Linked DNA regions of Drosophila melanogaster. Each later gene encodes a partner of the first gene's protein in a complex. Each region holds a gene or a part of one and is shown on either strand. Other genes may lie near its edges.

Evidence for each region.
Region 2: rig (region 1) and Glos share a complex: the UniProt entries of both Drosophila melanogaster proteins name them as parts of the core survival motor neuron (SMN) complex.

What each region holds. Positions count from the first base shown.
Region 1 is NT_033778.4:20,636,697-20,643,077, reverse strand, and holds the start of rig (rigor mortis), read left to right. Parts: upstream 1-2,396; 5' UTR 2,397-2,496; coding exon 2,497-3,928; intron 3,929-3,986; coding exon 3,987-4,299; intron 4,300-4,356; coding exon 4,357-4,519; intron 4,520-4,581; coding exon 4,582-4,735; exon of another isoform or gene 4,736-4,760; coding exon of another isoform or gene 4,761-5,504; intron 5,505-5,563; coding exon of another isoform or gene 5,564-5,913; intron 5,914-5,969; coding exon of another isoform or gene 5,970-6,381. Other genes in the region: Tcs1 (Threonyl-carbamoyl synthesis 1), read left to right, coding at 1-501; CG11110 (uncharacterized protein), read right to left, coding at 661-1,082, 1,148-1,241; maf-S, read right to left, coding at 1,532-1,912, 1,960-1,992; CG13436 (uncharacterized protein), read right to left, coding at 4,761-5,504, 5,564-5,913, 5,970-6,381. UniProt on the Drosophila melanogaster protein: Component of the survival motor neuron (SMN) complex that catalyzes the assembly of small nuclear ribonucleoproteins (snRNPs), the building blocks of the spliceosome, and thereby plays an important role in the splicing of cellular pre-mRNAs.
Region 2 is NC_004354.4:3,931,933-3,938,313, forward strand, and holds the start of Glos (gaulos), read left to right. Parts: upstream 1-4,584; 5' UTR 4,585-4,889; coding exon 4,890-5,007; intron 5,008-5,060; coding exon 5,061-6,381. Other genes in the region: CG2938 (uncharacterized protein), read right to left, coding at 1,024-3,247, 3,328-3,424, 3,798-4,065. UniProt on the Drosophila melanogaster protein: Component of the survival motor neuron (SMN) complex that catalyzes the assembly of small nuclear ribonucleoproteins (snRNPs), the building blocks of the spliceosome, and thereby plays an important role in the splicing of cellular pre-mRNAs.

The DNA.
Region 1 (6,381 bases):
CGCGATGAACACAAGCCCGTGGCCATCTGCGTTCACAACATCGATGCGTTGCGACGCTTTGGTCAGGCTGCCCATCTCAGCGACGAGCTGCTAACTCGTTTGCTCCCGGGCCCCCTGACCATCGTGATCGAGCGGACGTCCCAGCTGAGCAACCGTTTCCTTAATCCCAGCACCTCCAAAATCGGCATACGCATTCCGGACTTCAACTTCATGCGCGACCTGTGCGCCGTGTGGCAGGAGAAGCCCCTGGCCCTGACCAGCGCCAATCGCTCCAGTGCGCCCAGCAGTCTGCAGGTGTCCGAGTTCCGTTCCCTATGGCCCCAATTGGGCGCCGTCTTCGATGCCGGTCGAATCGGTCTGACCGAGGAGCGACGACTGGCCTCCACGGTCATTGACCTGGCCACTCCTGGCTACTATGAAATAGTGCGCGCCGGCGTGGCTCTCAAGCCGACACTCAGCCTCATGGAGGAGTTCGGCATTCGGGAGCTAAAAATGATGTAGTATAAGAGCTATTCCTTTGGCTTTAACTTTAATTTTTACTTTGGAACATCCTACTTTGCTTTGCATGCGGGAACACAACAAATTGTTTATAAAATATACGGTTCAGTATGTACACAATTGGAACTATCTTGGGCGCAGGCTCTCCGCCAGTTGGTCAGTCTAGTTGTAGTAGTTGCTGGAGTTCTTGGAGGCCTGTATGGGTCTCCGTCGCCGCGGCAGTTCGTTCTCCAGTATTCGCCAGCGTTCCGGTGGCCACACGATGGCCACTGCCCGCGCGGACATCAGGCCCAGGGCGACGGGTCCAAAGGTATTGCTGTCCATGGAGTGGCCTGTGTGATCGCCCTCCACCCAACAATGTCCTTCGGGTACGCGAACGATCTCGTGCTTGTAGCCCAGCGTGGACACGACGTCGCCCTGCAGCCCCACCACGCGCTTGATAATCTTCTGGGCGGGATCCTTGGGTGAAATGAGCGATATTATGTCGCCGCGCTCCACCTGACTGTTGTGGGTGCCCCAGCGCAGCAGGAACACATAGTCCTTTTCATCCGGCACGGGATTGAGAGCGGGCTGCATGGAGATGCCTGCAAAAAGTTGTGGATTAATTAGCGCACACTAACATGGAGCGAATAAACTCCGGACGACTCACCATCCACCCTGGCCACATAACCAACGCAGTCCAGGAAAGTGACGCCAAGTGGCAGAGCGTACAGCAAGGACTTGCCAAAGAACCGAAATGCCATGGATGAACTGGTTGGAGAGCGGAGCTATCGAGATGAATACATAACCACCAGCCTTTTGCCGAGTTCCTTGTGCGCTCCGGATCTTATGACATTCGCAGCGCAGCGCCGACACGGGTTTTGTTTATGCTAAATACAGGGTGCTTCAATAAAGGCGATGCAGAGGTTCTTGAGCAGATTACGTTTATTGAGGAAGGATATTTGCCAGCTATTGTACTTTAGTTACAGGTGTTTTTTTCCGTTTTGGGTTTATTGTAATTTTGACAGAAACAGGAATGTGACTGGGCAATCGTTCAGCAGCCCTCCAGCTCGCTGGGAATGGGTATCTCGTTCTGGATGGCGAACTGCAGCAGCGCCTTGTACTTGTTCTTCCAGTTGGACACCTCGCGGCGCACCTGCTCGTTGTCCTCGTGCATCTGCTCCAGTTCCGTCCACTCGTACGACTTCTTAGTCTCCAGCTCGTCCTTCTGTTCGATTCTCTTGATGCGGCAACTGGCTGCGTATCCGCGATTCTTTAAGGTTCTCCGGCGCTGCTTCATCCGAACGATCTCCTCGCGGTTCAGGCCACGCATCTTGAGGGTCCGATTAAGATCCCTTACCGAAATGCTCACCAAATCGTCATCGGTAATATCCGGAATTGGACATGGCGAAAGTGGTGCCTGAAAATCGCACTTCTATCAGGGTTTTCTTTCTTCTTCGCATATATCTACAAGGTACGTACCAGGGATGACTTTCTCTCGCGCTTTGCTTCCATTGTGGCCGATTGTATTTTATTTTTACGGAGACTTTTAGAATTTGCTAGATTTTTCTACCTTTTTTTTTTGCGTTGTTATTGTGTGTCTTCTTCTTCCTCTCTACCTGCTGGTTGCCATTCACAGGAAATGGATTGCATAGAGTTGGCAGATAGACAAAAAACGTCTGTGGTAAATAGCGGGTAATTTAAATATACTAAAGCTAACGTGATCCCTAGATTTTAGGCTTTGTAGCATAAGGTACTTAGTTATATTTTTAAATTATTTATATAAAGCAGATCCAGATTTTTGTTATAAATACAAGTTCGAAAATAACAAATTTATATTTTAATTATTATCAATTTTAATTAACTGTTAAGTTCCGTGCCTTCCAGGTGGCATCGCTGGCAAAGTTTAAGAAGCTGCCTAACACTAACAGCTTTACAGAAGTTTTTTCCCCGAACGACGCCAACTGTTAGCGGGAAATATTCCTTCATCCTGCAGATGCCAAGTCCTTATTGTTCGCCATGAACTCGCAGGTGATGTACCACAATGTGCCCACACCGCCGGGCAACGTATCTTTGGCGGCCGCTGCTCCCGACGGCGGTTTGCTGTACGCCGGCATTCGCTGCATCAACTACATATCCGCGCCGCCGGCAAACGGAGAGCAGCCCCAAGTGGTGACCATGTCGACGCGGATCAACATACTGGCCCTGGACGTTAGTCCCATGTGGGGCTTGGGCAACGGTGGGCCGACCAAGCCATTCGCCATTGTGGGCGACGATCTAAGCGTTCAGGTGTGGGACTGCGCATTGGGCGAAGCCGTCATCGGGCACAAGGCCCATCAGCACCAGCACGAGGCGCGGGATGTGCGCGTCGTGCACCACACTACCAACTCCGTGCTGATGAGCTACCTGGCCAATGGTAACATTCTATCCATGGACGCCAGTGATCTGGTCATCTATTGTGTGGCATCCAACACCTACTGCCGTCGCTCCACTTTCATCTCGCCCCGAAATCACCAACTCACTATGGTGCGCTGCTCGCCCTACAATGACAATTTGTTCGCTGTGGGAACGGCTATGGGTAATGTGCTGGTCTGCGATCTGCGCAAAATGAACATCGTCTACAAGTTCCACGGCCACAAAGCGCCCATATGCGGCTTAGCCTGGCGGGAGGTGCCTGCTGCCGAGGACGAAAAAACCAATAATCTGGCGTTAAGTGCTGAAGAGTGGCGAAGCCGCAATGGCGGCCAGGAGGAGAAACCCAAGACAAAGCCACCACCACTGACCAAATCGAAGGCAGCCGAATCCGACGACCCTTTCGACATATACAACTTTGATCATCTTGAGTACGAGTTCGGTGCACCTATAGCTGAACGCCGCCGCAAATCTTCAGAGGATTGTGGCGGCGAATTTGTGGGTCTAGAGAAGCCAGCTGGTGCCGCTGTCTTAGATTTCGTTGAGGCCTGCGAGAGTGTGAAAGCCGAACTCTTAGCCAGTCGCCAGGAGGATAAAACGCAGCACGTGGAGGTCACGCTGCATGACTGCGAGCCCACAAAGCCTACGGGTCCCTTAAGTGATGCCAGCACCATTAGCAACAAGAACGATGCCAGCGACTCGACCGAGGGCAGTCTGGAGGTCATCCAGTACAGCTCGTCCAGTGATGATGCCGTGATCGTCGATGGCGAGGCAGCAAAGCCCAAAAGAGAAGTATTGCATCACATCTACCACCAGGCCGAGGTACATGCTTCAGGAACACCGCAGACCAAGTCTGAGCCTCAGAGTAATCTCCAAGTTGTGCCGGCCATCAGCGCGGAGACCATCAGCTTGACATCCGTGAACAGCACCCACTTGGAAACTCTGCTCGTGTCCATTGACGGCGATGAGGTGATGATGATCTGGAATACCAATACGGGAGCGCATGCTGGCAAGAACTACAGCAAAAGCAAGACGGCGGGTAAGTGGAAAGAATCAAACCATTGAAAGCAAGCATTCAACTGGGATCTTTTCTTCAGGCAAGCTTAACAACGTCTACTGGCTGAACAACCATGTCATTGTTTCCCTGAGTCGCCATCAGTTATTCTTTTGGTCCGTGGAGTTCGAGCGCAAGATGCTACGCTACAAGATCAGCAAGGATAAATCACACAGCTGCCATTTGCAAGACATCGTGTCCTTTGCCTGTGACTCCAGCAAAGAGATGATATGGTTGTGCAGAAACAATCGCCAGATTGGAATGATGAATCCTAAAACTGGCCGGATGGCTGACTTTTACGGAACAGTGGCGTTTGGAGTGCGAGCGATGGCCGAGTGTCCAGATGATATGAACAAGTAAGCTAATAAGATAATATGCCATTCGCAAACGTTGCTAAACTGTTTTTCGTTTAGAATCGCTTTGGGTTGTTCGGATCGCCGTGTGGCCTTCTTCGATATATCGAAGCTCACCACCAGCTGCCTGCCCATCGACAGCGTTTATGTGTCCAGCAACGTCTACTGCCTGGCTTGGAGTCCAAACTGCTTGGAACTGGCCTTTGGCACCTTCGACGGAACGGTATGGCTTTGATTTCGTCTATTTTATTGGATATTGAACCTAAATATACAACTCAACAACAGGTGGGCATCCTGGATGTGGAGCGCATGAAAGTAAAGACACACTTACGGACGCCGCACAAAAAAGAAGTCTACTCGCTTGTGTGGCAGGACCACTTTATATACTTTATTGTGAATCGTGTTCTAGGTTTCTTTGATTTAAGAAAATCGAAAATCGGTGAGTATATGTTCTTAGCCGTTCTCTACTTATGTTGCCGACAGTTGTAGGTTTGATTCTGTGCGTTGCGCCTTCCGTAACTAATGTTGGTCTGCGCGTCGTTGGTCTGCTTCTTACGTATATTGGCCAAGTGGATTGTCTCCCGATGATAATCCCACGCATTCCATGTTACGTTTATCCAGTTTGCTGGCGTTAGGTCGTTGGTGACGACCATTTCGGTTTGACACTCAAAATCTGTCTGCTTTGGTGGCTCAACTACCAGATTCTGCAGTTCCTGCTCTATTAGCGCATCGTCCAATTTGAACAGCAGAGCCAGGTTCGCATTGTTGAAAACCACTTTTCTAAAGGCGGCTATGAAAGGCTCAAATCGCAGCTCCGCGAATCGAGCGTATCTTGGGTCCCGGAAACCAAATGTAATGTCCACATTGGAGCACAGCTTTCTGGTCACCTGGGCCGGCATAAGCAGGCCGTTGGTAATGGTCATGGCTAGAGAGCAAAACTCCTTTATATCTGCCTTGTTGAGCTTGCAAAAGTTGCCATCGGTCTGCAACTCCTTCACGGCATCCATGCGTTCCTCAAAGCTGCAGACCTTGGGCTTCTTTATCCGCTTATGAAGCGCCTGCAGCTCGGCAATCGTAGCCTTTGTCAGGGTCATCAAGTCGTCGACGACCAATGCCTCCACCTGCTCCCTCAGCTTGTTTAACTCAACAATGTGGTTCAGGTAGTTGTTCAGATTGCCCCACACCTGAGAGAGGTACACAAAGTGCGGCTGAAAGCGGGAAACGAAATTGGAGAAATTCTCATCTTTTAAATGAATACATCACTTACAAATATAAGCTCCGAATCAATAGCCGTGCGCATGGATAGGGTATCATCAATCTTGCAGATCACGCATTGATATCGCTTATGCTCCACTTCAATTAGGTACACTGTCTTCTGGTAATGTTCGTTCAGAGTCGTCAGACAGCGATGGAGCATAAAGTAGGTCGCCGCAAACTGGTTAAGCCGATCCAAATGTTCGAGGGGCACGCGGTAGGTCAAGGTCTCGTCCTTATGATCTATGTTTATGAGGTCATCCAGTGCCGCCTGGCAAGTGGACTGCATCTTGACCGCCCTTCCCATACTGGCTGCAAATGCGGCTTCCGTGTTCTTCTGGGCCATTTCCAGATCATCGACCACTAAGAAGTATACAGCAGATATGAAATATGAAATGGTTTGCCCTATATGCACATACCGCTTCTAACATTCTCCCGATCTCCATCGGGGCCATCGTTGTTATAGATCACAATGCCGCCCACGGTCGCCGACAAGCGTTGAAGATACTCTAGCCGATGGTACTTCTTCTTCAGGACATAATTCTGTAGGTCACTTCGACCGATGACGCTGTTGAGAGCCTGGGCAGTCAGCTTAAGCAGAACATGATTCTTGGGCGAGCCCAGACTGTAGCAGGCCACTATGAAGACCTGCATCTTTGCGAAGAGCTGGTCCAACTGCACTTTACTGCAAGTCTCGGGATACTGAAGGATATCCTTGATTAGCAGCTGCAGTTCGGTTTGGAACTTTTCCTCGTACTTCTTCTTGACGTATTCAAGGTCTATGGTTACTCCCTTTTTCATTACCCAAGCCATCTTCATGTTGGCCATAGT
Region 2 (6,381 bases), on another chromosome or scaffold:
CCAGCAACAGATAGTTTTTCTCGGTGTAGTTTGGACTTAGTTGCAGCTTGTTTGCAGCATGTCAATGAGCACAATTTCTGCAGCCTCCTCCACGTGCCCGCATTGGAGGATGCCCAGTTCAGTGGCCGCCAGTCCAGAGTTCAGAGTTGCAGCATATTTTCCGAAAAGTGTGATAAATTTTCCGGCCAATGGCTTCCGACCGGCGCTGTATAGTGTGTCAAATAAGTGTATATCCATTGCTTTATTCTCTTGCTTTATACATACATTTGGTTTGCCGCTGCTTATGTTTGAGTGTGAGTGTGTTTGGTTGGGTGAGTTGTTAAGTAATTTGTGCAAAATTTAATTAAGGCTAAGTTAACCCTAGGCTGTATACATCGGCGCAAATAATTCCGATATACACATACATATATCATGTGTGTGCCTACAGTGCGTTTCAGAACCATAAGAATATTGTGCAGTTGCAGGTAAAGCCATATAAAGTCAGCTACCGAATTAACTTATTAAACAAACATATATGTAAATAGATTTTAGGAGCTTTAATCTTAAAAATGAAATTGCATTAAGTAAGGTTTTACATCTCATTTCGAGAGTTGACTACGATTTTCTTCTTATAGCTATGACACGCACTTTTCAAACTAGGGTGGTTCGATTGCTAAATAGGCAAAAATAAATATACTTTAACTGAAAGTTATTTGATCCCGACTCGAATCGAATGAACATAATGAGCTAACATTAACAAATTAAATTATTGTCTTGTCTGAATCTTAGCAAAAATGCCAGATCCCGGGGTTTCTTAGGCAAAACGAAAACAAATATTTGACCCATGGCCTTAGAGTTAAGTATCTTTTAAAAAAATATCGAGATATGGCAAATGGATTTTAAGGTCATAAGCTTAAATACAGAACCGTTCCACCCTGACGTTAAACAATTAAGTTCGTTCCATATTTGCCGAATAGGCTATGCTATCTATCGAATACTTTGGGTCAATACCTGGGCGGCAATTGGATTGCGAATCGCTCAGGATCAGAACATGCCATCCGATCGGGCGACGGGTATGAGCACGATGAGGAAGATGACGAAATTTCGCATGACCAGACGCCAGTCGCTGGGCACCGCATACGGCAGCAGGATTTGGGTGAGGCGGTGCACCTCGTGCGATGCGCACACAAATATGAACGATGTAATGATCATGTTGAGCGTCGGGAAACCGGGCAGCAGCACCAGAACTCCATGCCGATCGGCGGCCAGCCAAATATGATACTGGCAGACGAACAGCTCCAACGAGATGCGGCCAAACCAGGCGAAGAACGCCGAGTATCGTGTACGTAGAATACCCGAAATGTTCCTGAGGACCACATAGCCCACAATCGGGATGAACAGTATATACGAATGGATCTCCTCACAGTTCTGAACGTTGCGGCAAAGGAACGAGAACGAAGTGTACACCCCGACGCCCAGCAGGGCCAGCAATGTGACTGATATTGATGTCCTTCGCGAAAACAGATTCCCATGGTTGTTGTCATCGAACACATTGTACTTTTGGGCAATGTGAAAGCAGGCGGCATATATCATGCCAAAGGCCACCGTATACCGGTCCAGTTTCCACTGATGCCACCACTCGTGCAGGTCGTCGTCAGTGGTCACAAACAACGCTTTCCACGGTCGCGTTACGAATATCCGTTCGAAGAATACCTCCGACATGAAGAGCACCGTGATGCCGCCCAGGCAACCAATGCACTTGCACACCAAATACAGATAGTGCAGCGGATTGGCGTCCACCGATGCGGACGAAATTCGTGGCGGCAGTGCGAGCACAAAGTATACGATGCACAGCCAAAAGGATAGTAGTGGCACAAAATAGTAGAACTGATACGGCCGGTTCATGCAGAAGCACAGCAGTACACTGAGAAAGTTTGCCCGGAACATGGCCTGGAAAAAGCGTACGAATAGGGAGCCACTGCCACCCGTTTGCCACATATGCGTGAAGTGCGTGTATCCGGTAAGGAAAAAGTATCCTGAGATCAACAGCTTAATGTGCATGTGAATGGGCAGCACTCGCTGTGCTCCGGTCATGTAATATATAAGCACCACCAGCAGTATCCAGCCACGCAGTTCATCCGTTTGATCGCGATTGAGCACCTTAGTGAACCGTGAATCTTCCGTAAAAAACAATCCGAGTGCGAAGACATAGCCCACTGGTATCCAGAAGCTAAACTCAGAATAGTATTTGTTCTCCTTCATAAAGAAGTTTGTGCGATCGCAGAGGTAGAAATAGGCCAAAATTAGGCCCAGCAGTGATAGCGCCACCATGGGAGTGCCATAGTCGGTTATCAGAGCGGATAAGGCATTGCTCGGTGATCCTCCACCTGCTCTTCCCCCGTCGTAAGATTGCTGCTGCTGCAGGGGCACATACAAAGTCTGGCCCCGCAGGTGAAGCACCCATCTGCGCAGACACATGCCACACACAAGCGCCATACAGACGCCAAACAAGGCGTATGCCACTATTTGCAGCGTGGTGTATGGCTCAGAACTGCTGCAGCAGGTGCCATCATTGTAGTTCATGTAGTCATTGCAGTACATGTTCCACAGTAGCTGAACCTCCAGTCGCTGGCCATGGGCGCACAGCTGATGACCATCGATGGCGTTGTCCAGCAAACCATTGGCTATGTGCCAGGCGGATTCCCAAACACTTGCCTCCGTGTAGCGAAAAACTCCTCTGGCCACATGGTTTAATCGATCGATTTGCTCGTTCTGGAGCAGCTTCCAGTGCGCGGGCAATTTCTCCTCGTCCACGCGGTCTGCTAGCTTCCAGAGGACCCGCGAAGTTTGCGCCACCAGGCGATGAAACGGAGCCACCAGCAATGTAAGATTGGCGGCATATTGCCGCAGCACATCGTCTGTGGTGTTGCCAGCGAGCAAGCCGGCATAGGTGAAGCCCACAACGTACACAGAGGACAGCTGCTTCTCAGACTCCAGACGGTACAGTTGCTCCACAAGCGACGGACTCACCTCCTCCGCCCGAATGTACTGGGCCAGCATATGCAGCTTCTTGTCCTCGAAACGGGCTGAGCCATCAGTCACCGAGGCGTTATTGTCCTCCTCGTCGGCCATTTCATCCGCGGCCAATGGCAGGCGAAGTTGCTCCACAAATCGTTCGTAGAGCAGCCGTATACTCTCGTCGCCAATGAACACAAAGTTGTTCTTGTTGTCGAAGAAGGCGAGGTAACGCAAACAGCGCCTTGTGTCACTGTAAATAATGAGAATTTCGGTTTGGGTGACTCATTAATTGGGGGGTTATCTTGTCGGGAATGTGCGTTGATTACTCACGTGAGGGAGTACTTGTGCACCATGCAACCGTACGGCTGCCACTCGTTGTCGCCCTTAAATCGGCCCTTGGACAGCAGCCACTGGCAGGAGTCACTGCCTGCGGGAGAACAAAACAAAACAAATCAATATCCATAATAAGCATACGATGGCAGCCAACATCCCAAATATGAACTTTACATGTCGTTTATATTAATCCAACCAACTGCAGAATTTGTACACTAATCTTAAAATTCGACATGATTATCTATATTTACATAAACGTTTGAGATTAAAAGTTTGTAAAAACCTTTTTTACTATTTAAAATGTACCGAATATGGTCAAACGTCAAACTGACTCATTAATAATATGAGAAGAATAAGTGAACATTGGTATACAATTGTGATCTTAAAATGGGTACGATTCCGTATCCACATCCATTATAAATTTCATAGTACTTAGATCTTTAAAGATCTTGTAACCTTGGACCCACCGTATTTCCAGTTGAGCAGGCCGTGATAGACGATGAAGCCGAGGACCAGAAGCAAAGCCACCTTCTTGGCATTGGTGGCGTTTAGTTGTTCCATAAATATATCCGCTCTGGTGGGCATACGCTGTCCTCCGGCGGCGCCTCCAATGCAGATGCCGCCTAGTTCGGGACTAGGGGCTCCATTCACTGACACTCCGGGGGTTCCGGTTGTAGCTGCTCCAATGCCTCCTACGCTTCCACCATTTCCACCGCGCAGTTCGCGTAGCTCCATAATTTATAAGCCGTCTGCCGCCTTCTCCACCGCCACCACCAAACGGTCTGCGACGGAAAGTCTGGCCTATAATATAGATAATTTGGCCTATTGCATGGGCATGTTTTAACCCAGTTCCGCTTGTTCCTTAGGCAGCGACCGACTCCTCCTATCGCTTGCTGTTTCGCTCTTGCTTGGCTTTTATTTTACTTTCCTTTAGCTTTTGCTTCGCCGGCCGATAGACAACCGCGTCTATCGACCGCCACCCACAACACAAAACTATCGACACCGAACAGCTGATTTGTCTGCATTGTGGGCGAACGGGAAAGATCGTTAATAATATCAATTATCAAATTTCGAAAAACACAATACTATACTTTATAGCAAATATACATTTATTTTTTTACCATTTAAGCATTAGCTTTTGCTTTGCCGGCCGTTAGGCAGCCGCGTCTATTGCCCTCCAACGCAATACAAGACTATCGATAACGAACAGATGATCTCTCAGCATTCCTGTCGAAAGGGAGGATCGTTAATAATATCAATTATTAATTATCGAATAAGGCACTACAATACTTAATTTATTTTTCAGCTAAAAATATTTACATATCATAGGAAAAAAATTAGAAATAAAGTTAAATAAATAGGAATAAATCTACATCAGAGAGTCCATAACAAAGCGAAATTTTTGTATTCGGGACATTTTCATTTTCAAAAAATATTCTTCGCACGCAAGATAAGTGGTACGCAACTATCGATTTTGGATAGTCATCTGACGAGAAGACGCACATAAAATTGAATTCGTTCGGAAAAGTTTTGACAAAACGCGAAGTTTCGGCAGCACTATGATAACTGCTAAGAAGCACCCGCTGGACAATTGCCAATTGTTTGTCCAGCTGAAGAAGTTATTTCATGACTACAACGAGAAGGTCCAGCGTCTGAAGGACATGATTTACTGGAGTGGTAAGTGAAGTACCAGAGGTTAGTGCCCAAATATGAACATTGTTTGTTCTCAGGAAACGATGAGCACATTGCGAAGATCTGCGACCAAGTGACGGACCTGCTGGTGGAGCACGATCTAATCATACAGCCGCCAGACACAATGGATCCTTGTGCTATGAATCACCTGCGTGGACTACTGGTGTACCTGGTGCTGAACACTGCACACGATGATATCCAGTGCGAATCGCAGTGGAGCGCCAATGTCATGCATTTGTGTAACCAGCTGCCGCCTATCCCACTGTTCTTGACCATCGCAATAGCCGTTAACTGCTGTCTCATGGAGCCGCTGGAGGAATTCCTTGCTTGTGGACCCCGCTGGCTGACCATCCAGTATTTTGAGGCATTCAATGAGGCTCTGTCGGTCATTAATTCAGATTGCGTGGAAACACTACCGCTGCTCTCTGCCGCCCTCAGAGCAGCCGGTCGCGCAATTGTCAACTGCAATTTGCCCGCAGAAAATAAGCAACTGCTGCGCCAGATAGCCTGCATGGAACATCGTCATATCTTGGACTCTAAACAGCGCCTCCATACGCTGCCGCGTCCATCCACTCGAAAGATTTACCTGGCCAAGGCTATGGATCACCTTATAGAAGTCCTTTTGTATACCCTCAATGATCCATTAAAGCGGGAGAAACCAAATTGCTTCGCCGTCTACAGCCAAATAACCGAGGACATCAGTGACAGCAACTCAAGCGATCCCATGCCTGATCTGCGGCATTTCGCCCAAATACTGCTAGACGTTCTGCAGCGTATCTTTCAGCTCGTTAGCGTAGACACGTATATGTATTGGCATGAAATGAAATCGAAAAGTGCTTTGTATAACTGCCAGGAGCTAATCTGTAGACAGACGGCAGAATTGCTTAAAGTACTCCAATCAGATAAGTTGCTCGGAGAGCATCCGGTTTGCAAGCAGATGCAGAGCTTTGCGGATGCAGCAAAAACATTGGAGCAGCGCGTTGCCGAGATGAGAATCGGTGAACTCTTGGCCTTTATCGATTCCGGTATGGCCACCAATGAGGAGTTGCTCGCCGGGCTGGACAATCTCTTTAGCCGCTTCATAGCCTTTGGCAGCGATGAGTGCCTGGAAACGATGGCAAATCATTTAATTATGCTCACCAAGAAACATGCCCAGATAATACTCAGTTTCCTGGGTCAGGTGGTGGAGTCCGAAATGGTGGTCGAGGACGAGGGCATATCCGTTACGGAAGTAAATCAGGGGGACGACGAGGACGAGACCTCGTCCAACGATGATTACGAAGAGCTGCTAAGCCTAGTACTGCGTCCCTTATTTATGCAATTAAATGTCGAGGACAAGATGGAAGTACTGCTATTACG